Stegostoma tigrinum: one gene and its partners. The protein of the gene in region 3 purifies or fractionates together with the protein of the main gene of each other region. This does not show direct contact. Links are inferred from orthologs where the notes say so. Each region holds a gene or a part of one and is shown on either strand. Other genes may lie near its edges.

Evidence for each region. The genes of interacting proteins can lie anywhere in the genome.
Region 1: the proteins of SWI/SNF-related matrix-associated actin-dependent regulator of chromatin subfamily A member 5 (region 3) and hmgxb4a purify together in Homo sapiens (affinity purification with mass spectrometry; 3 studies listed by BioGRID and IntAct, with this or other methods). This does not show direct contact. The link is inferred for Stegostoma tigrinum from reciprocal best matches to the Homo sapiens genes SMARCA5 and HMGXB4.
Region 2: the proteins of SWI/SNF-related matrix-associated actin-dependent regulator of chromatin subfamily A member 5 (region 3) and chromatin remodeling regulator CECR2-like purify together in Homo sapiens (affinity purification with mass spectrometry; 3 studies listed by BioGRID and IntAct, with this or other methods). This does not show direct contact. The link is inferred for Stegostoma tigrinum from reciprocal best matches to the Homo sapiens genes SMARCA5 and CECR2.

What each region holds. Positions count from the first base shown.
Region 1 is NC_081391.1:4,172,909-4,180,538, forward strand, and holds the start of hmgxb4a (HMG domain-containing protein 4a), read left to right. Parts: upstream 1-4,628; 5' UTR 4,629-4,699; intron 4,700-5,007; exon of another isoform or gene 5,008-5,475; intron 5,476-7,630. UniProt on the Homo sapiens protein: Negatively regulates Wnt/beta-catenin signaling during development.
Region 2 is NC_081371.1:27,548,600-27,556,332, forward strand, and holds the start of chromatin remodeling regulator CECR2-like, read left to right. Parts: upstream 1-4,731; 5' UTR 4,732-4,781; coding exon 4,782-4,922; intron 4,923-7,733. Other genes in the region: adenosine deaminase 2-like, read right to left, coding at 3,047-3,362. UniProt on the Homo sapiens protein: Regulatory subunit of the ATP-dependent CERF-1 and CERF-5 ISWI chromatin remodeling complexes, which form ordered nucleosome arrays on chromatin and facilitate access to DNA during DNA-templated processes such as DNA replication, transcription, and repair.
Region 3 is NC_081354.1:14,750,939-14,757,951, reverse strand, and holds the start of SWI/SNF-related matrix-associated actin-dependent regulator of chromatin subfamily A member 5, read right to left. Parts: upstream 3,022-7,013; 5' UTR 2,828-3,021; coding exon 2,690-2,827; intron 1-2,689. UniProt on the Homo sapiens protein: ATPase that possesses intrinsic ATP-dependent nucleosome-remodeling activity.

The DNA.
Region 1 (7,630 bases), on a different chromosome or scaffold from region 3:
TCTCTACTGAAAATAAAACATGCTGGAAATCATCTGGCAGCATCTATGGAGAGAACAAAAACAAAGTTGCTGGAAAAGCTCAGCAGGTCTGGCAGTATCTGTGAAGGAGAAAACAGAGTTAACGTTTCGGGTCTGGTGACCCTTCCTCAGAACTGATGGTGGCTGGGAAAACGTCAGTTTATATGCAGAAAATAGGGAGGTGGGTGGGGAAGGGAGTAAACGAGAGGATAGGGCCCAAAGAGAGAGAAAAACAGTTGGATAGACAAAGGAGGGTGGGTAGTTGTTAATGGGGGCTGTTATTGACTAACAACAGGGAGTGTGTAATGGCAGGCTATGTGGTAACAAGGCCTGATGTGTGGGGTGGGGGGCGGGTGGCTGGGACATGGGAGAGTTTAGGCCCTAAAATTATTGAACTCAATATTGAGTCCGGAGGACTGTAGGGTCTCCAAGCGGAAAATGAGGTATTGTTCTTCCAGCTTGTGTTGGGCTTCACTGGAGCACTGTAGCAAGCCAGAGCCAGAGATGTTGGTCAGGGAGCAGGGTGATACATTACATTGAAGTTGCAGGCAACAGGTAGTTCAGGGTCTCTTTTGCAAACACAACATCGATATTCTGTGAAGCGGTTGCCAAGTCTATGCTTCGTTTCCCCAATGTAGAGACCACATTGTAATCAGTGAATGCAGCAGACTAGATTCTTGGAAGTGCAGGTGAAGTGTTGTTTGTTCTTCTTCAATTTCACTGCCCCTCTCATACCCCACTTCCTATAATGACTCTATCCCATTCTCTCAGTTCCTCTGTTTCCATCAGATATGTTCAGATGAGGCCCACTTCAACAAGGGAGCCTCCAAAATGTCCAGCTTCTTGTCGTGCCGAAATTCGTCTGTGGAGAGAAAGCAAGCTAGCATTTCAAGTCTAGATGACTCTAATGAAGAAAAACCAAAAGATCTGCGGATGCTGTAAATCAGGAACAAATACAAATTAGCTGGAAAAGCTCAGCAGGTCTGGCAGTATCTGTGAAGGAGAAAACAGAGTTAACATTTTGGGTCCGGGGAAACATTACCTGAAACTGAACACAAAATATTACCTCTGTTTTCTCCTTCACAGGTACTGCCAGACCTGCTGAGCTTTTCCAGCAACTTTGTTTTTGACACTAATGAAGAATCTGATGAAGAGTCATCTGAACTCAAAAACATTAGCTTGCTCTGTCTCCATGGATGCTGCCTGACCTGCTGTGATTTTCAGCTTTTTTTGTTTTCAGTAACCCATTTTCTCACTCTTAGCTCTTATTATCTCTTATTCAGTTTGCTATCTGTCTTGGCCTGATATCCATTATCTTCTTGTTTACCGGCCCCTTTCATATCTCTATCTCTGGGGTCTGTCTCCACCTATCTTTTCATCACCCCTTTGTCCCCAGTTTGGCTTCAGCATAAATGCCAGTTTTCCTAGCTGCCAGAGTCACCAGACTCAAAATATTAACTTTTCTTTCTTCCCAAAGATGTTGCCAGATCTGCTGAGTTTCTCCAGCAATTTCTGTTTCTGTCTTTTAAAAACCGGCAAATCCCTCTGTGCTGTAATTATCTTCAGACTTTCTCCATTAAAATTATGTCCAACTGCTCTATTCTTCCTGCCAAACTACATAATCTCACATTTTCCCACATTATATTCAGTCTGCCAAGTTTTTGCCCATTCATTCAACCTGTCTATCTCCCCTGTAAACTTTTTGCGTTATTGTTCATAGTTTCTCTCCCATCTATTTTTGTCCCATTTGCAATCTGGGTTCTCCAAGTAATTCAGCTATGGCCCAACTAACATCTTATGCAGCTCCATCATAACCTCCCAGTAATTGTATTCAATGCCTTGACTAATAAACACAAAGAGATATTGCTGGAAAGCTCAGCAGGTCTGGCTGTGTTTGTGGAGAGAAATCAAAGTTAACATTTTAGATCCAGTGACCCTTCCTAGGAAATGAGATGACAAAGTGTGGAGCTGGATGAACACAGCAGGCCAAGCAGCATCTTAGGAGCACAAAAGCTGACGTTTTGGGCCTAAACCCTTCATCAGAAAAGGGGGAGGGGGAGAGGGTTCTGAAATAAATAGGGAGAGAGGGGGAGGTGGATTGAAGATGGATAGAGGAGAAGATAGGTGGAGAGGAGACAGACAAGTTAAAGGGGCGGGGATGGAGCCAGTAGAGGTGAGTGTAGGTGGGGAGGTATGGTGAGGATAGGTCAGTCCGGGGAGGACGGACAGATCAAGAGGGCGGGATGAGGTTAGGAGGCAGGAAATGGAGCTGCGGCTTGAGGTGGGAGGAGGGGATAGGTGGGAGGAAAACAGGTTAGGCAGGCTGGGACAAGCTAGGCTGGTTTTGGGATGCAGTGAAGGGAGGGGAGATTTTGAAGCTTGTGAAATCCACATGATACCATTGGGCTGCAGGGTTCCCAAGCGGAATATGAATTGCTGTTCCTGCAACCTTCAGGTGGCATTGTTGTGGCACTGCAGGAGGCCCAGGATAGACATGTCGTCTAAGGAATGGGAGGGGGAGTTGAAATGGTTCGCAACTGGGAGGTGCAGTTGTTTATTGCGAACCGAGCGGAGGTGTTCTGCAAAGCAGTCCCCAAGCCTCCGCTTGGTTCCCCCGATGTAGAGGTAGCCACACCGGGTACAGTGGATGCAGCATGTGGATGTGCAGGTGAACATCTGCTTGATGTGGAAAGTCATCTTTGGGCCTGAGATGGGGGTGAGGGAGGAGGTGTGGGGGCACACTTTCTCCTCTATCCATCTTGGATCCACCTCCCACATCTCCCTATTTATTTCAGAACCCTCTCCCTATCCGCCTTTTCTGATGAAGGGTCTAGGCCTGAAACGTTAGCTTTTGTGCTCCTAAGATGCTGCTTGGCGTGCTGTGTTCATCCAGCTCCACACTTTGTTTTCTCAGATTGTCCAGCAGCTGCAGTTCCCATTACCTCTGATACAATTTTAACCCTTCCTATGAACTTCGGGAAGGGTTCTGAAGAAGGGTCACTTGAGCCGAAATGCCAACTCTGATTTCTCTCCACAGATACTGCCAGACCTGTGTTTGTATTTCTGATTTACAGCATCAGCAGTTTTTACCTCTACTAATAAAGATCATAAGACCATATCACACAGTAGCAGAAATTAGGCCACTCGGCCCACCAAGTCTGCTCCGCCATTTAATTATGGCGGATAGGTTCCTCAGGAATTCCATAATAAAGGCAGGCATTCCTTATGCATAACCACAGCTCCAAGATTTACAATCTTGGAAGACCAACCTTTAACTAATTTCTATTTACTTTATTCTGAATGTCATTTTGAATTGTGGGTCAGCTGGCAATATTGGCAGAGTACAAACATAAAATTGATATCAACACAACTAATAGAAAAGGTGTTCGTGCCCTTAGATAAGCCACACCCCAATTACCTGCAGGGGCCCCAGTGGCCTAATGGATAAGGCACTGGCCTCCTAAGCCAGGGATTGTGGGTTCGAGTCCCATCTGGGGTGTCCAATTTTTAAAGCCTACTTGCTCTGCAGGGATCTTGAATGTTTCTGACGTTCACTTCTCATCTACTCTGTCAAACTCCCTGTTCCTACGCTGAGATCGTAGCAAAGGATGGTTCAATAAAATCTTGAACAACGCAATTGAAGGAGTTTGGGGATATACAGAAAATTGGCTGAGTTTTTCACACAGACAGCACAGCCACGATGGGCTGAATGCCCGCCAAGGTTCAATTGCTTTGTTCTCATTGCAGTTTTGCGCAATATTCTCCACTTACTCAGAAACAAATGATTACTGGAGCAGAAAGATTAACTTTAATTTCTCTTCCCAGGCGCTGCCAGACCTGCTGACCTGTTGCAGCAATGTTTTCTTTCTGCTTCTGATTTACAGCATCTGCAGCTCCTTCGGTTTTCACCTCCACTTTCATTCTCCCACTTACTGCAAATACCTTCACACTGCTGCGCAAAATAGCAACGAGTAGCCACATCTTTCTCCTGTCTGCTCGGAGGCGAGATCAATTCATCAAGCAGCCAGCAATTTAGCATTTAAAATGTGCATGAGATGGAAGGGGAAAAAACCCAATCAATTACAGTATGAAAAAAAGAACACCACCTCGAGCGAAGTATTTAAATGCTTCAATTTCCATTTAAAACACGTAGCCCCAGTGGCCTAATGGATAAGGCACTGGCCTCCTAAGCCAGGGATTGTGGGTTCGAGTCCCATCTGGGGTGGGTTGAATTTACTTTACTTACGCTAAAGTAACTTTTGAATAATTGTTCCTGACTACGTTTCTTCAGAATTTTGATGTACGTATTTTACTTTCAAACCTTTTTGTTGATATTAATTCGGAACTTTTTCTCATTTCATTTTTGAATTTAAAACGTTTAATGAAATGTATCCACTTTTACGACTACATTCATAGAAAATTTTATGATTTTTCTACTGATTTTATTGGAATTTATTTTCTACAATTATTACTGTCAGATTTATTGTTAGGCATCTTTTTCCAGTGTCCTATGTTGAAACCGTGTAACTTTTACCTTATCCTTCTGCCTCCTGTAGGAAACATAATGTAATTACAGTTATTGTTGGCGTTTTGTTCGAGTTAGAAACATACACATACATTAACATTGATTATTTCTTTAATTTTATCACGTGTTATCTGATGAGGAATTACTCGCCCAAAGGTGAACTATGCATATTTGTGAAAACAAAATGTCATTTGCATTAGAGATAGCAGGAACTGCAGATGCCGGAGAATCTGAGATAACAAGGTGTAGAGCTGGATGAACACAGCAGGCCAAGCAGCATCAGAGGAGCAGGAAGGTTGACGTTTCGGTCCCAGACCCTTCTTCAGGGGAAAAAAAAATGTTTATTTGCATTGTTGAGGGTAACAAACTAATAGTTGAGAACGTGTCATTAGTGAAATATGAGCATCTGGACTGTTCAGTTTCCAGCTACAGCCTGGGATCCTCTATGTCACTTTAACTTAGAGTCTTGTCCAGACGGTATCCATTTTTACAACCCATGTTAGAAGAAGACTAGCGAGTACAAGGCAGTGACTTGCGTTGTTTACGTGATGAACAGTCCAAGGCGAAAGCAATTCGTTACTTGAGTTTTCTTTTCATACTCGTGTCGTGATAATGCGGTAGTAGTGAGACCGCAAGTGGTGACATTAGGATGGGAAGCTAAACTGTTGGAAAAGGCGGACCTAGAACTTCTGTAGAAAATGTATGATTTATGCGGTCTCGTGGCTTTTCCAAATTGCTTCCAGAATGATTAAGTTGTAGAAAGTTGGACAAGGACTTGGAGGGTACTGTGAATAGTACTCAGCCCGCGGCGGGGGAATGGATCGATGTGCTCTGTGCTCGTTTATTTCCGCCTGCTCGTGGCCTCTCCGCTTCAGTCTGGCCAAGATGGCGGTACTTGGCGAGGGATGGCGGCCCCAGTTGGTGTCTTTATGGTGAGAGTTTCAGTTTGACAAAGCGTGGGTTTGCGGGCGTCTCCCGAACCGTTAAAACAGTTAAACTCCGAAAAACCGGTTCAGATCCCCTGGGGAGCGGCGGGAGGAACGGTATCCGGTAGGCGGCCAACCTTATCGGACAAAGCAGCGGTGTTTCCTGGATGCCGCGGCCGAGGAGAGCGCGGTCGGTGGGCGGCTGCTGATGGAAGGTTTCGGGCGGATGAGCGTCGGAGGGTGGGGGAAGATGGGCGCAAAGATTGAGAAAGGGCGGGAAGGCAGAGCTGTCTAGGAAGAAGTGACAACCTCTGGGCAAATCTAAAGTCAAATATAGCAGCATGAAATTTAACTTTTATAATTTTAGTATTTGTTGTGTAACCAGTAAGTTATTTTAAATTGTGTTCATTTTTTAAAAAAAAGTATTCTTTTCCGAATTACATTCTTCTTTGAAATCCGAAATTAATCCATGGATGAGGAAGTTTTGCCTCTCAATGATAGTCTGTTTTGATTATTATGTAGATATATATTGGGGAAACTTGGTGACAATTGTGATGCTACAGAGGGTATTGCCTTAATTAGACGATAGAATAAATCACACAATTGTGGATGCTGGAAGTCTGAAACAAAAACAGAAATTTCTGGTGAGACTCAGCAGATCTGACAGCACATATGGAAGGAAAGAGAGTTGACTTTCGAGTTCAGTGATTCAGTTTTTTGTTCAGACCTGTGGAGTTTCTCTGGTATTTTTTATTTTGTGTAAGAGGGTATTATTTAAGAGTTTTCAGGACAGAATCAGGTCATTTGGATAAACTGGCCTGAAATATGTGTGTCTGTATTAACCTCTGCCCATTCCTCTTCACCACATGATGTCCTCCTTTTCTCCAGCATGTTTATAATGCATCATTTCCCTCCAGTCGTTTTAGCCAAGTCCCACATTCTCCTGTTTTTCAATGACTTGTACGCAGTACTCCAGAAGTGGCCTTATTAATATCCGGTACAACCTCAACATGATGTCTTAGCTGCTATACTCCTAGACAAAGCGATGAAGACAAGCGATTAAGACAATGCTAAACCACCCTGTCAACTTGTGTTGCAACTTGCAAAGAACTGTGTACCTGAATGCATGGGTCTCTATGTTCAACAACAGTACCCAGGGCCCTACCGTTAACTGTATAAGTCCTGCCTTTGGTTGTTTCAACAAAATGCACTGCCTTGTATTCATCCAAATTAAACTCCATCTGCCAAACCTCAGCCGGTTGGTGCAATTGATCAAGATTCCTTTGTATTCTTAGATAACCATCAGTGTTGACTATATCACCAATTTTGGTGTCATCTGCTTACTTACTAACCATCCCTCCTAAAATTCTCGTCCAAATTGTTTCTATAAATGACAACCAAAAGTGGAGCAGCTCCAGTCCCTGTGGAGCACCGCTGGTCACCGGCCTCCAGTCCGAAAAACACCACCACCACCCTGTGTCTCCTTCTGTCGAGCCAGTTTGTCTCCAGTTGGCATACTCTCCCTGAATTCCATGTGATTTAGCTTTACTTATTAATCTGTCATGTGGAACCTTGTCAAAGGCTTTACTGTCGTCCATGTAGCCAATGTGTACGAATCCTTTTGGTTACATCCACAAAAACTCAGATTTGTGGGGCGTTGTTTCCCAAGTGCAGAGCCATTTTTTAAGACTCCTGTTCTGAACAAGACTGTATAGAACTGGAAAAGTTAACTTTGTTTCTCTCTCCACCGAAGCTGCCAGACCTGCTGAATTTCTTAAGTGCTTTCCATTTCTGTGCCTCTTACCACTGTTCATCTAACTCAAAAAGGTTCCTTTTGTGATAGGAAAATAAGGAACAAGACTCGACCATTCTGCCCCTGGGCCCTATTCTGCCCTTCACTTGTTGTGGCTGATCTATTCCCTCAGGACACTTTCCTGCACTAGCCTCATATTTCTGGATGCTCATAGCATCCATAAATCTCTACCTTGAATGTACTCGACTGAGGATTCACAGCTGTCTCTGATTTTAAAAAAAAATTCCAGAGTTTTTAAATCCCTTCAAGTGAGCAAATTCCTTTTCAGTCACTGCAAAATGGTCAACAATTTATTCTGTGAGCATACAGTTTGTTCCCAATCTTCCCACCATTTCCCTGCCGAACCCT
Region 2 (7,733 bases), on a different chromosome or scaffold from region 3:
ATGGGCTTCAGATCGGTTTGACAGGTCGGCACAACATCGAGGGCCGAAGGCCTGTACTGTGCTGTAATGTTCTATGTATATGTATTTCTGCAACATGTACAAATAAACATGCATGGAAGACTCCCTCAAATTAGAAACGGAAGTAATAAATCTCATTTGGTGGGAACACCAGACAACTGACACAATTTAATTCTACTCAGTAAATTACTTTATGAAATCTTAAAAAGGAGCTATCCTTAAAGTTTGGATAAACATTAGCATAATAATCCCCAACAGATTTAAAAATAAAACAAAGACCTGGGGATCTGAAACAAACAAACAAAGACTGAAATGGCAGGAGAAACTCAGCAGGTCAGGCTTCTGTGGAGAGAAAACAGAATGATTGCACATGGACTCGAAAGGTTAACTCTTGTTTTATCTCACAGACCTGCTGGATTTAGAAATAGCTAAGTGCACCCAGACAAATCTTGAATTTTCACGTGCAGTGTCACTGGAAAGCAATAAAAGTTGATTAAAGGTTTTGCACAAAGCACTATCATACTATTTACACAGAAGAATTCAGGAACAAGTCATAAATGAATTTATGTGAGCACATGTTGTTTGGTTATTCTTTGCATAATTGATTCCTCTCAACCCTGGTCTCGAGTTTGCTTTTATTTCTAGAATGCAGGTTACACCACAGAAAAGTAAACAGATCCAAGTTTGATACAAAGTGCAAAGTTCCTATATTTCAAAAGGTCACTTCTTGGCTCTACAGGCACGAAATAACATTTCAACTCATTTTCATCAATTTCATAATATCTACAAACCTTTAAAGGAACAAAATCAGAGTCATCTGCAACCTTCTGAACCCTCACCGAACTGCCCTGTCAAAAATTACCTTTTATTCTGATCTTTTATTTCTTAAAAGAAAATACACCAATATCTCATGTTATACAGAATACTTGAAACATCCTCTCAGTTCACACCGTGGGAGATTCACCAATAATATATAAAAAGCTGTTACATTCCCTCAGTAACGGTTAACAGTTTGTCTTGCATTCATAGTTTTTCTTAGTTTGTGCTTTGATAAGTGCCTCCTCCCCAGACCCTTGATCAATACAGTACACCTCCAGATTTGTGAAATCCCCAACAGTCACACATCATTTTATCCAACGACTCACCAAACACAGAGGTAACAAGAATTGTAGACGCTGGAGTCAGAGTCAATACAGTGCGAAGCTGGAGCAACACAGCAGGTCAGAGGTGCAGGAATGTTGACATTTCAGGTTTACACCCTTCATCAGGGCTGGGGAGGGGGGCAAAAAAACAGAGCTCAGAAATAAACGGGGAGTTGGGTCAGAAGGAAGGAAGGTTGGTGACAGGTGAACACAGGTGGGGGCTGTAGAGATTGGTCAGTTGCAAGAGTAGGGTGGAAGGTAGGAAAGAAGATGAACAGAGTGTGTCAGATTAAGGAGGAAGGGATGGGAGGGAGGGTTAGACTTGGGATGAAGCCGGGGTGGGGGAGATTTTGAAACTGATGAATTTTATGTTCAGGCCGTCAGGCCACGAGCTCCCCAGTCAAAGTATGAGGTGTTGTTCCTCCAATTTGCGTGTGGCGTCATTGTGGCACTGGAGGAGGCCGGCCCAGGATGGACATGTGGCCCAGGGAGTGAGAGGGAAAGTTAAAATGGTTGGCAACCAGAAATTGTTGCTGATTATAGCAGACAGAGCACAGATGCTCTGCAAATCGGTCACCAATTCATCAACTTTACCAACACCTTTCACCCCAACCTCAACTTCACCTAGACTATCTTGGATACTCCTCCCCACTTCCTGGACCTCTCCATCTCCAGTATCTGTCTCAGCACCAACATCTATTTCAAAGCCACTGACTCTCGTAGTCATCTTGCCTACGCCTCCTCTTACCCACCCTCCTACAAGAATGCAATCTCTCACTCCCAATTCCTCCACCTCCACATCATCTGCTCCCAAGATGGAGCATTCTACTCCTAGTCAAACCTTACCCCCTCCGATGATCCAAACTGCCTCAACTGCATCTCCCGCACTTCTGCTCTGAAATCCCCACTCCTCAACAAAAATAAAGACAGAGTCCCCTGGTCCTCATATACCATTCTACCAACCTCTGCATCCAGCAGGTCATTCTCTGCCACCTGCAATCTGACCCCACCAGAGATATTTCCATCTCCACCGCTTCGGCCTTTTGTATGGGCCGCTCACTCCGTGACTTGCTCATCTACTCCACACTCAGCACCTTTCCCTGCAAGTGCTGGAGGTGCAACACCTGCCTCTACAACTCCTCTCTCACCTCTGTCCAAGGCCCAAAACAAACTTTCCATATCCGACAGGGGTTCACCTGTAGCATCCTCCAACCTTCAACACTGTATTCCGTTGCTCCCAATGTGGCCTCCTCTGCATTAGTGAGACTGAGTACAGACTAGGTGACCGATTCACGGTGCGTCTGCACTCTGTACACTATAACCAGCAACACCGTTCTGTTTGCCAACCTAACTTCCCATTAACATGTTCATCCAGGGCCTCCTCCAGTGTCCCAATGGTGCCACACACAAACTGGAGGAACAACATACTCGGCCTCTAATGGCCTGAACACAGAATTCACCAGTTTCATCTCTCCCCACCCCAGGGCCTATTTCCAAGTCCAACCCGCTTCCCCTCTCGTCCCTGCCTCCTGGACATGAGGCAACCTGTCCATCTTATCTCCCATCTATCAGCCCCACCCAACTAACTGACCAATTCTCACCAGTCCCTACCTGCATTCACCTATCACCATCGCACCTACCTTTCCCAGCTCCACCCCTGCTCTCTATTTATTACACAGCTCCCCTCCCAGTCCTGGATGCAGGGTCCCGAACCGAAACGTCGACGTTCCTCACTGCCGAACCGGCTTGATTCCTCCAGGTCTACACTGTATGTTGAATAAAGTGGTCATTTTATCTTCATTTGAAAGTTTTTTAAAAAAGCCAGTTTTCTAAAATATCCGCAACCCATTACGCAGTCGATTAATAAACCTCATATCATTGCTTACCTTTGGGCATCATCTGTATAATTTTAAAAACTGGACTTTGTTCAATTAATTCTTTTGCTCTGAAAAAGTGCATAGCTGGGGCAAATTTACCAGTTTTCATTCCTTCCATTATCTCCTTTGCTTTGATTCTCTTAAGTATACAATTAACCTGCAGTTCTTTTTCAGTCGAGAGGAGATTACCGCCTGTAAATTGGAACTGCTCCAGTTTTATCAAACTAGCTCGGTCGGCCGGAGTTGGAAACGTTTGACACACCGCAAACAAACAAAAGAAAAAGGAAAACACAGCTGCCTCTTTTCTGAAATTTGGTGCCTTCATTTTCAAAAGACCACACGGTTCTGTATAATATTCAAACGTTAGCGAGAACTGACGAGAACACGAAACGTGCAATCAATTATAAACTCAACTTTCGCTTCTGCAAAGATCTTGTACTTCCCTTTAAGGGGACAGCTGAAGTAACTGGACTGTTATTTGATATAGGAAACGCGTGCACCCACGTAAAGAGAAATTGTCACTTGTGTCCTGATGCCCATGACAGAAGGGTGACTTTTTTTAAAAAAAAGCAGTCACATCTCTGCTGATTACTCGGGGGCAAGGATAAGAAGTCGAATACATTTAACGCAATCAAACACCGAAGTAAAGGGACTGGGTGTTTTGGCAGGCGACAGCATTGAAATGGATGGGCGGTGCACGGTGTCACTCGCCCTTTCCCCAGGGAAGGGGGTGGGGGTGGGGATGGGGATGTCTTAGGGGAGTAAGGAAGGTTTTAGCCCGAGCGCGGGCTCCAGAACAACAACAACCGTTTAGAACGCGGAGATTCTGGGAATGGAACGTTGGGTGATCCAACAGAAACGCTCGCGCACTCTACCACTAGTTGCAACCTCCAACTAAACAACAAACGATAAGGCTCTCGACACCAATTCTAAAGTGCAGGAACTTAATATAGCAAGGAAGGAAACTAAAGAATAGCTCGATTATTCAATGGATAGTTTTCTCCCCACCCCAGTCATTCCTTCCCAAAATCCACAGACCAGCCTTATTAAACAAACTCGACGTTAAAACCCCCGGGGTGCGCACAATATATCCAGGCACTTCGCCCCACCTCCCCCATCCCAAAGGACAGCGCGGCTCAGCCCATTGGCTGGTACCCAGGAGACCTCTGCGTCACTTCCTGTTGGTGGCGACGAGCCTTTCTACTTTCTCGCGGGGGTGTCTGAGTTCCGAACGTGGCAGCGACTGCCCAACAAGCCGCCATTCTCCCCGTTGCCTCGGGCTCGGCCCGGCGTTCGCCATTGTGCACAGCAGGGGTGGAGGGCTGTCGGCAGTTTTGGTGAAGGGATGCGCCGGGCGTTGAGCAGTTCAGTGCGTCCTGGTCTCCCTCCGGTGTGTTGAAGGATTGGAGCACTCCCCTGTTGTTGTCCGGCCATCTGTTCCTCGCTGAGAATGGGGCTGCGAGATTGTTCCAGGATTACACACGCACGCCTGCACTGAGAGAGAGAGAGGGGAAGGAAGGAAGGAAGGAAGGAAGGGGAGAGAGAGAGAGAGAGAAGAGGAGAGGAATAGACCGGCAATGGCAGGCAGCGCACACACTTAACACCCAGCACATTCCTTACGCCAACCGGCACTAGGAGACTGGAAACAGAGGGGGTCTGGTGGAGGGGAGGGTGGGGGTGGAAATTTACACAAGGAAGCCAAGTTCGAGGAAAACTATCTCATGTGAGGACAGGGATTTATTTGATGCCATTTAAAATGTCCGAGGAATGTACATCTTCGACCGTTTCGGTAGAAGAAATTCGTTCTTGGTGGGAAGTACCCGCCATCGCACACTTTTGCTCTTTATTCAGGACAGCATTTGGGCTCCCAGACTTCGAAATTGAGGTAATTCTGTTTTTCCCTTCAATGAGTTATGAGACTTTTTTCTTTCCTGTAAATGATTAAGTTGCCTCTCGAAGCCCCTGTCATTTCAAAGAATTCAAAGTTAGTAATCATATGGATACAGGATGTCAATCTCGCCTCCCAGCTGCTGGCTCAATTCTATTGTGGTTCTAAAACGGCTCGATTGCAATCACCGATACACTGATGTGGACTTTAATCATCGTTGTTTACCTTTTGTTGTATAAAACGTTTGTCTTAGTTTTAAAAAGTTTAATAAAGTTGGTATCTCTTGGGCTTGAAAACGGGAGGACATGGTGTGTTCCTTTCGTAAAGGAGCGTGCCTTCCGATAAGGTGCTGCCGTTCTTCATGATCTGCTCTGCCACACATCCATCATAGCCATGGCATTGTTTAGGAGAAAGACGAGCCACATGCTGCTAACAAAGTTAGCTGATTACCCTTTTAAACTACAATTTTTAGTAGAAAAGCCTCCGACGAACAATATATACCCAATAACTTTTAAAATGTATATTTTAACAAAACGGAGTCAATATCAGCGTAGGGGCGTTTCGCAAATTGCTCGATTCATCGGCAAGGCGCAGAGTATTTCGGTCTATTTCGTCACTGTTGATAAAACACAAGTGTAACAAATTAAACTTGCTTAGACGATCTTAAATTCGATTTCTGGCATATAGGTCTTACAAAGAAAACAGCATGTTCGTTAACGTTCTGCAACCCGACTGGGAAACGAAATTCAGAGAATCATTCGATTTCAAGTAAAATTGAACAAACACAATCATTCATCCTGCTCTGTCCGATATCTTCTCTTCTCTTCCCCCCCCCTTTTTTTCCCCCCCATTGTTGTTGTTTTTGTTCGGCGAGTCTATTGTTTAAAGTTGTTTCTCCGGGAGGGAGGGGAGTTGAAAGGCTTAATTCACAACAAACGTTTGCTGTGATTCTGGGAGGAGTTTTTGTTTAAAATCCAAATACGATGACTTTTTTTGTATGTATGAAGTTGCAAGTGAGAAACCAAGTCCCTGACTTGAGTTGGTGTTCAATGTGTTTTAAACGTAGAATATGCATCTTGTGTGAGGCATGTTCTGCAGCTCTGATCAAAATTCTCTCTTGCTATCTTTGTGGGTCTCTAAATGTGTCAACCAACCATCAACTAGACTACGAATGCTCTGTTTATTTTGAAGGATAAGTTTGGTTTTTCCTTCGTTGAAATGCAACAAGTTGTTTATTTCCTCCATAATAGATTTCCAATTTAAAATACCTTGCTGCGTTGTTAGCGATATATGAAAGAGAACATTCTAGAAATTTAACATGTTGGTAGGACGAAGCGCCCACTCCTAAAATGGAGTGACCAGTTCCATTTTACCTTTTAACCTCCCGCTGCCCTTCTCTTTCTGCCACACCCCCCAACCCCCCTCCCCCCCCACCCCCACCGAAATCCATTCACTGGTTTGTTTGATTTCCCGTGCTTGCTGTAAATAGTCTGCCGATCGGTACCTCCGTGACAGACTGTATTCTCGCACTTTTCAAATTGTTTTGCTTGTGGGCCTAGTGAAATTGCTACTTTTATGCGTGTTCATTTTGATTTCACAGTTTGTTTTACAATCATGTTGCTGTCCTTGGTAGCGAAATTTTTTGGTTGAATACATACACTTTGGTTGTAGTTAGTGTGTAGTTTAGATAATCTGAGGTTGACGTTCATTTCATTTCTCACTGTGTTTACAGTGGCTACTTAAAAGTAGCAAATTGTATAACCAGGTAAATCTGTTTGGTTTGGGGTGTGGGAGTTTTTCTCAATGCGTAAACAATCTGGTACTGGTGCTTTACCCCATTGAATGAGTGGCACCAACTGCACATGGAACTCTTATTCCATAAGCCGTTTCTACTCATCATAACTTGCATTTGTACAGCACATGTGGCATTTATCAAGGTAATTTGAATGCTGTTTCTGGCTGGCCTTTATTCTGGCTTTGGAGTAATACCATTGTGAAATCGGATGACACAGTCCTGCAGTGTATGTTGATTGTGATGTAATTCTCGTACATTTAGCAGATGGCTGCATCTTTTTTTAAACCTGCCAGCTACTCGCATTCAGCTGGTCACTGGATGTGCAATTTAGAGACTTCATACCTAGCATGAAGTACATTGTTTGTGAAATAGTTACTTTTGATTCAATAACTCTTGTCACTGGTGGCAGAAATAGTAAATGCATTACTGCGGTTTCAATTCCTGGTTCTCTGCTGAGGTGCCTGACTTGAGTTACAATGAGCTTCACTACTTTAATGATAGTATTTGAATATGTAATGAAAATAGGATCTGGTTTTGGTGTAGCGCTCATGTGCGAATGCCTATTTAGACAAACATCAGATGGTGCGTGGCATTCATTTGAGCTGTCGACCAATATGATTCAGTACCTTCAGGGAAGAATGGGGAAAATAATGAACTATATACCAGAGGTGTAGCTGCAAAAGTAATTTTTTAGCTGTGTAAAACTGTAATCATTAATTTGAAACAAGCCATGAAAATGGAGGTATGTTACAAGTTTGTCTGGTAGTGAAACTCATTGCAGTTGAAGTACTGCAGTTGAAAGACTGAAAAAGATAAATGTGACCCTTTTTTGAATATGTTATTGTTGCTGCTTGTAGAAATATTCCCTGAATTCTTGGTGGCAGCTTTAAGGTAGGATCAGAACATGTACTTGGAGAGTTTGCAATAATTCTCATCCCATTGAAATCGCAGCTTAGTCTGTTGGAAAAATGTGGTTTAAAGAACAGATATATCCTTAGCAAATTTGAATCTTT
Region 3 (7,013 bases):
ATTCCATCTCACTTGAAAGGTAACAAACTTGACAATGTAGAGTTAGGCCCAATTTCAGTTCTCAACACGTTCATGTGCTAATTGAATCACTTTCTGACTGAGAACCAAAGACTACAGAGTTAGGGCTCACAAGAAGTAGGAAGTTATAACAGTTCATAAGGGGTCAAAGTATCTTTCAGACTAACTGCTGTAGCTAGTTAGGTCCAAAACAAGTTACGTAAGTCATACATGGAAGCACACAAAAGGTAAATGTAGTCCAACTAGCTCATGCATGCATGTATGCATACATACTTGTTAGGCCATGCACCAGCCTCTCCGAGCTTAAATAGCTCCAGCTATTTCCTCAGAGGGTAGCTTCTTGAGGTATATCTTTGTGGGTTTTTCTTTTACATCATTTCCAGGGCCTACATAGTTCTTTACAAAATAGAAACCAGAATTGTGCAACAGGTTGAGAGATAGAGTATAAATACAAAATTGGTGATTAAACTATGTTAACATAAAACATACAAAGCACTTCACAGGAACATTGCCGTATAATACTGAGAATAAGCCACAGATAGAAGTATTAGGATCAATGTAATCTACAGGTCAGTTTAGAGGACAGAAAATTTTAGAAAGAGTATTTCAGAAGCTCACGTTTAGATAGCTAAACATAATTAAAATGAGAGATGTGCAAGAAGCCAGAAATGGAACAGCAGAGTGACCTGGTAGGATTGCAGGCAATTACAGAAAAAGTACTGGGCATTCATAAACAAAGATGAAGATATTAAAAATCAAGGTATTGCATGATTAGGGTACAGCATAATCAGCAAACATATTGAGTGCCAATACAGATCGAATTTTAAATACGCTCAAGTTTATGAAGTTTGGAAAATGGGAGGGTGGCCATAAAGATGGGACAGTTATGATGTCAATAAAGGTTTCAGCTACTAAAGTGGAAGTGGAATATTTTAGTAACAGTGTGAATACACAGTCAGAGGTCAAAAAGTTTTAAATTCCCTGGCTCACTCTCAGAAAGCAACCATGAGGGGGAAGCATCTGGTGGCTAGGGAACAGAATTCACAGTGGGGCCTAGAAACAATTGCCTTCAGTATTTCAAATCTTGAGATGATGAGCCACCTGTGCTCATCCAGTCTATGTCAGGTAAGCCACCAAGAAATTAACCCAACTGCTTAGGTTACAATTTTAAAATGGTCTTCCTAATGTGCATTTATATTTACAACGATGGACTCGAGATCCCTTTGTTGCAATTTTTTTCTAGCATCGTGCAAACTTTTAAATTTTCCTTCAAAGTGTAACTCCTTGTATTTGAGGTTCATGTACCAATAAATTAATTTTCCAGTTTATTAAAGGAGTCACGTCTTTTGATCAAAATTATTCTCTCCATTTCTAACTAAAACAAAAAACAAATTGCCTGATCTCCATCAAACCACTGTCACACCATCTTGAGATGGAAACTGGCATAATGAACATTCTGCCTTGGAAACAATACCTTGTAGGATGATTCTCTTCCATCAAAGTAAATATATTGATTGGCTACAAATAGCTTAGCCAGTAGTTCACCCAAAACTGTTAAACAATTTACCTTTTACACAGCTAACTAGCACGGAGGAACGACAGTAAAGTGACATTTGGGGTTCAGACCAAAACCAGCCCTGCTGAATAAGTGGGTCATATTCCAAATTGGAATCAGGAAATATTGAATGAACAGACAGTTCTACAAAACCAAGAGCAGCAATAACAGAAGAATGACAACGGGGCACCAACAAAACTACTCACTGCTGACCAGCAATCAGACCCAGAATAAAATGCATTAAAACTGCAATTAGCCCCTATCAGATATGTTGGCCCCAAAACGTTAATGAGTACTTTCTGAAGTTAGCAGATGGAGGTGACTGGCCGAGACATTGACGTCTCTTTAAAGAGAGGTGGAGATTTGGGGATGGGCTAATGCTGGATAGGGCAAACGAGGGACATAAGGGATTACGGTGACAGAGGAACGTGAAAGGATTCTGTGTCAGGGACAAAGGGAGAGTGTGAAAGAGACAGAGAGAAAAATGTGGGTTAAACAAGGTATACGAAGGGGGGTGTTAGGGAGGGAGAGAGTGTAAAGGGGTTAAACAGGGCATGAGGGGGCGTTTTGGAGGGTAGAAGCTGTGGGGAGTGGGAGGTAGAGGTGATTGGAGTGTGTGTGTTTGAGAAAAAGTGAAGCGAGCGAACGAAGCAGGGCCATGGAGATTCATTGATCCTTTCCTCCTTCCCCACCCTCCGTTTATTTCTTCGCGGTGGCTTCCAGAGGCCCTCAGGGCTCCTCTGGACCTTCCGCGGGTTGGCGTAGCGGATCCCGGGTGGAGGATTCCTCCTGAGGATAGGGGGCGAGGATCAGACAAAGAAGGGGGAAAGGGGAAGCGGACTGCGCGTGCGCCGTCAGCGACGAACCAAGTCTATTCTCCCCCTCCCCCAACACACACACCGAGTGCCGGCGACCGTATTCTTCACCGGACCCCATCCTCCCTCCCACCACCCGTTATCAGGGCAGACAGGACCTGGGCGGTAAACCGGGGATGGAAGGAACGGGGTTGTTTACATGACGGGGGACCCGATAAAGATGAACACGAGGCGGGTAACCGGCCGCTCTCGCGGCGGGCAGGACGGGGTTGTCGACGGATCCGATCTCTCTCCCTCTCACCTGGTCCGTGCCCGGAGTCTGCATCTGGGGTTCGGCCGCCATCGCCCCCAGCTTCGAGCTCGCCTCCTCCACCTGCCCGTCGGCCGGGTTAGGGTTCAGGTTCAAGTTGGCGCTCGGCCTCTCCTCGGCTTCCGACATGTTCCGTTCTCCTTTCCCGCACCTCCCCACGGTTGAATTGAAAATGCCTCACCGGAGCCGACCTCTCACACCGTTTCCCTCCAACACCACTCTGCCGCCGGGTCGGCTCCTCCGGCTCCCCCACCCCCTCAGCCGGCTCCGATCTTCCGCTCAACCGCCTACTCGTCCACCTCCGCCGCTGCCCGGCTCTCGCGATAACGTCCTCGCCAAATCCCGCCAGACGTAGCTCCGCCCCCTCTCCCCCAGGGACCGCACTCGCGAGAACCTAGATAATAAAATGTGAGGCTGGATGAACACAGCAGGCCAAGCAGCATCTCAGGAGCACAAAAGCTGACGTTTCGGGCCTAGACCCTTCATCAGAGACTCTGATGAAGGGTCTAGGCCCGAAACGTCAGCTTTTGTGCTCCTGAGATGCTGCTTGGCCTGCTGTGTTCATCCAGCCTCACATTTTATTATCTTGGAATCTCCAGCATCTGCAGTTCCCATTATCTCGCGAGAACCTACCCGGATTGTTACTTTTGGTTTGAACTGTTGCTAAGTAACAGTCTGGTGGCGGGAATAGAGAGTGCAGGGTGGAAGGTTGCAGAGAGGCAGGAGAGTGTAGGGTGGAAGGTTGCAGGGCGGTGAGAAGCAAGAGGGTGCAGGTGGCTGGGCATTGTGGATGGTCTAGGGTAGTGAAGGGTCAGGGAGCTGGGACAGTTTGAGGCATCTTTAGGCGGCAGGGAGGAGGTAGCCCAGGCAGCATGGAATGTGTAAAGGAGTGAAGTAGGAGGGATTGAAGAGTGTCCAGGGAACGGGATAGAGGTGGCCAGGCAGTGTGGAGGGTGTAGGATAGTGAAGGGGCAGGTTGGAAGGTAGTAGGAGGGAATAAAAGGAGAATGGAATAGATGACGAAAAACTACAGTCTAAGTCCATAGTTTTCTGGTTTCTTTGAGCCTCTGTTCTGAAATTGAGTTCTTGTGTTTGCAGTTTTCCGATCTCTGGGACCGTTCCAGAATCTGTGGAATTTTGGAAGTTTATAACCAATCCAACACTTACTCTGTAGTTACATGTTTTAAGAAGCTAAGATGCCGGTCAATGGGTCCTAGAGACTTATCAACCATTCGTCATTTTAGTTTCTCTATTGTTTAATCACTCTTGATCTATCATATGATTATTCTTGCCCAAGTGATCTTTTACAATGAAGTTATTAATTAATCCTACCTTATATATTAGTGTCTCAAATAGCATATTTCCTGGTTAGTTCCTGAAAGTATTGTTGGAAGTGTCCATTATCTAGCACCACTAATCCTGTTATTTCGGACGTGGTTCTAGTCCTGCTGCATCAAACATAAATTTAATTATTTCCTGCTTCCTTAAATGATGAGTCATGCACTTATTCTATATTAAACTTAAAATCAAGCAAGCAACACAAAATTATTGATTTTTATAAACAAACTTATTCAGGTTGTTACAACACTGGTTAACAGACTTAGTTTGCAATTGAAAATATAAAAATTCACCTCTGAAATAATGAAACATGGAAGGAAAAGTGCAAAAACATGCTGGGTAAGGGAAAAAGAATCATTGCACGCTGTAGAGATGCATTTTGGGGAAACAAAGGTGCTTTGGGCATTAGGTTTTAGTTGTTGATGGCTACAAAAAAAGATAAGGTGTGGAACGTTGAACTGACATTCTGGTATCCAGAGGACAGTCAAGAAAGTCCAGTGATTGTATCTGGTTTCTTTGCCAATGTAGCTTGCTCAGAAAAACACTGTTGAAGATTCTTCCAATCACTGTCAGGTGCACAATCAGTGTTAAGACTGGATCGGGGCTCCACATTCCAGAATGAACCTACAATAAAATGTCACTTCAGAAACAGGAGAGATAGTCTGGGAAGTTCATTTCCTTCCCCAGGCTGGCCGTCAACAAAAAATTCTATATAATCTCCAAGGCAGACTCTGCAATACGACAGTTGTAAACACAGGCAGAGCGTTTGCAGTAAACAAGCAGTTTTCACAAGCACCACATATTTCACTTGGGAACCCTGCAGCCCAATGGTCTCAATGTAGACTTCACAAGCTTTAAAATCTCCCCACACTGGACTTTATCACAAAATCAGTCTAGCTCGTCCCCGCCTCCTTGACCTATCCGTCTTTCCTCCCACCTATCCGCTCCTCCTACCTCACTGATCAACCCCTGCCCCCACCTCCTACCTATTATCCTCATCCCTGCCTCCTTGACCTGTCTGTCTTCTTTCCACTTATCTGCTCCTTTATCCACCTTCTATCAGCACCTCGCCTTTCTCGCTATTTATTCCAGTCCCCTTCCCCTCCCTCATTTTTGAAGAAGGGTCCAGACCCAAAACGTCAGCTTTCCTGCTCCTCTGATGCTGCCTGACTTGCTGTGTTCATCCAACTCTACACCTTGTTATCTCAGTTTTCACAAGATGTGGCTTTCAAGAGACATTTATTGAAAAAAAATACAACTTTCTGTCCAACTGTTCTCTCTCTTTGTGCTTCATCCCCACCTATTGTTTACTCCCAACCTTCTCCCCCAACCCTTTCTCCTGCATATAAACATCCATTTTCCTGGCTACCATCCGTTCTGAGGAAGGGTCACTGGACTCGAAATGTTAACTCGGATTTCTCCTCACAGATGCTGCCAGACATACTGAGCTTTTCCTACAATTTCTATTTTTGTTACAACTTTCATTAACCACTTTTAAGAATCCAAGTATTCATAAAGCCTTCAAAAATAATTAGATTTAAAGCATCCATAACATCACCTGTCTTGAAAAGTGATTTGAAATTACACAGTCTAAACAAGAATAAAATATACAAAAACTTAAGACAAATTTACACGCATTCTCAGTCACTTTTCCCTGCATCTTGTGCGGTTATCTCGATACTTAATTATTTGATAATTTGAATAAAGTTACATTCTTGACAGAACATCAGCAATGACGTTATTTCTTGCTGCAGTGTCAATGACTCTTAAGTGATATGCCTGTAATAGCAAACTCCACAGAAATAGCCTGGCATTTTGTTTCTTGAAAATTTTCCCACTTCCCTGCAGCCATGATGGACTTTTACCTCAAAATGCTCAAAGGGGAGTAGTAATCCCTTTTTTTTCCCTACTGTAGAGTGTCTCTGTTGATGTGGATTTAAGTTGTTGGAAACATATCCCACTGACTTCTCTAAACCCAATTCATCTTGTAATATGACCTTACCTACCCTAAGTCACTGGTATCAATTGCAACATTGGATTTAAATTTAGATTTAGATTTTATTGTCACGTACTCAAGTACGGCATTCAAGAGCGCAGTGACAATCACACAATGTTGCCACGCAAGACACCATCTTAGGTAAGATTTACCTTGGTATAAAATCTTTGTTACAGAAATAGAGAAATAAAGAAATAGAATAGTGGGATGAATCCTCCATATTACACTGTATTTATGCAATCCAGGAATAACTCAAAGAAGCCTGAAAATTATCTCATTAACATCTTAGAGCATCCCGAGCCATGATGAAATGGGGCAATAACTGGCTCCAATCCTGAAGAGCAAAACCAGGTGATGCTCGTATTTCTGTCTTCAAAAGATGAATAATTTGGGATGGCATGGTGGCTCACAGTTCCCGGGTTCAATTCCAGCCTTGGGCGACAGTCTGCGGTTTCCTTTGCGTGCTCTGGTTTTTCTCCTGCAATCCAAAGTCGTGCACATTAGGCAGATTGGTCATGCGAAATTGCTCAAAGTGTCCAGGGTTGTGTAGGTTAGGTGGATCAGTCATGTAAAGTATGGCATTAGCAGGATTGGGTGGGATGTTCTTCGGAGGGTCAGTGTTGACTCGATGGACAGAATAGCCTGCTTCCACACTGCAGGGATTCTATTTAAAGAATGGTTCAGCTGTCCATATAGTATAGTCAAAAAGTTTGGTAAAGTACATTGGTTCAGCTGTGTCATATCTATATGTTGAAGCAATACCATCTCCATAAATGTAATCATTTGGATTGGGTGATAAAGGTGGTAGTTAATAGATGAAAAGAAAATACCATAGGCAATTTAGTGAAGAGAATGAAAAAAAAACCTTGAATTGAGTGCTAAAGCAGTTATATGAATAAAGCTTTCTGAAGTTTTTGTAAAATTAGGAGCAGTTAACACTGGCTCATTGATCAAAATTGCTTTCAGCCTCAACAGCTGCTT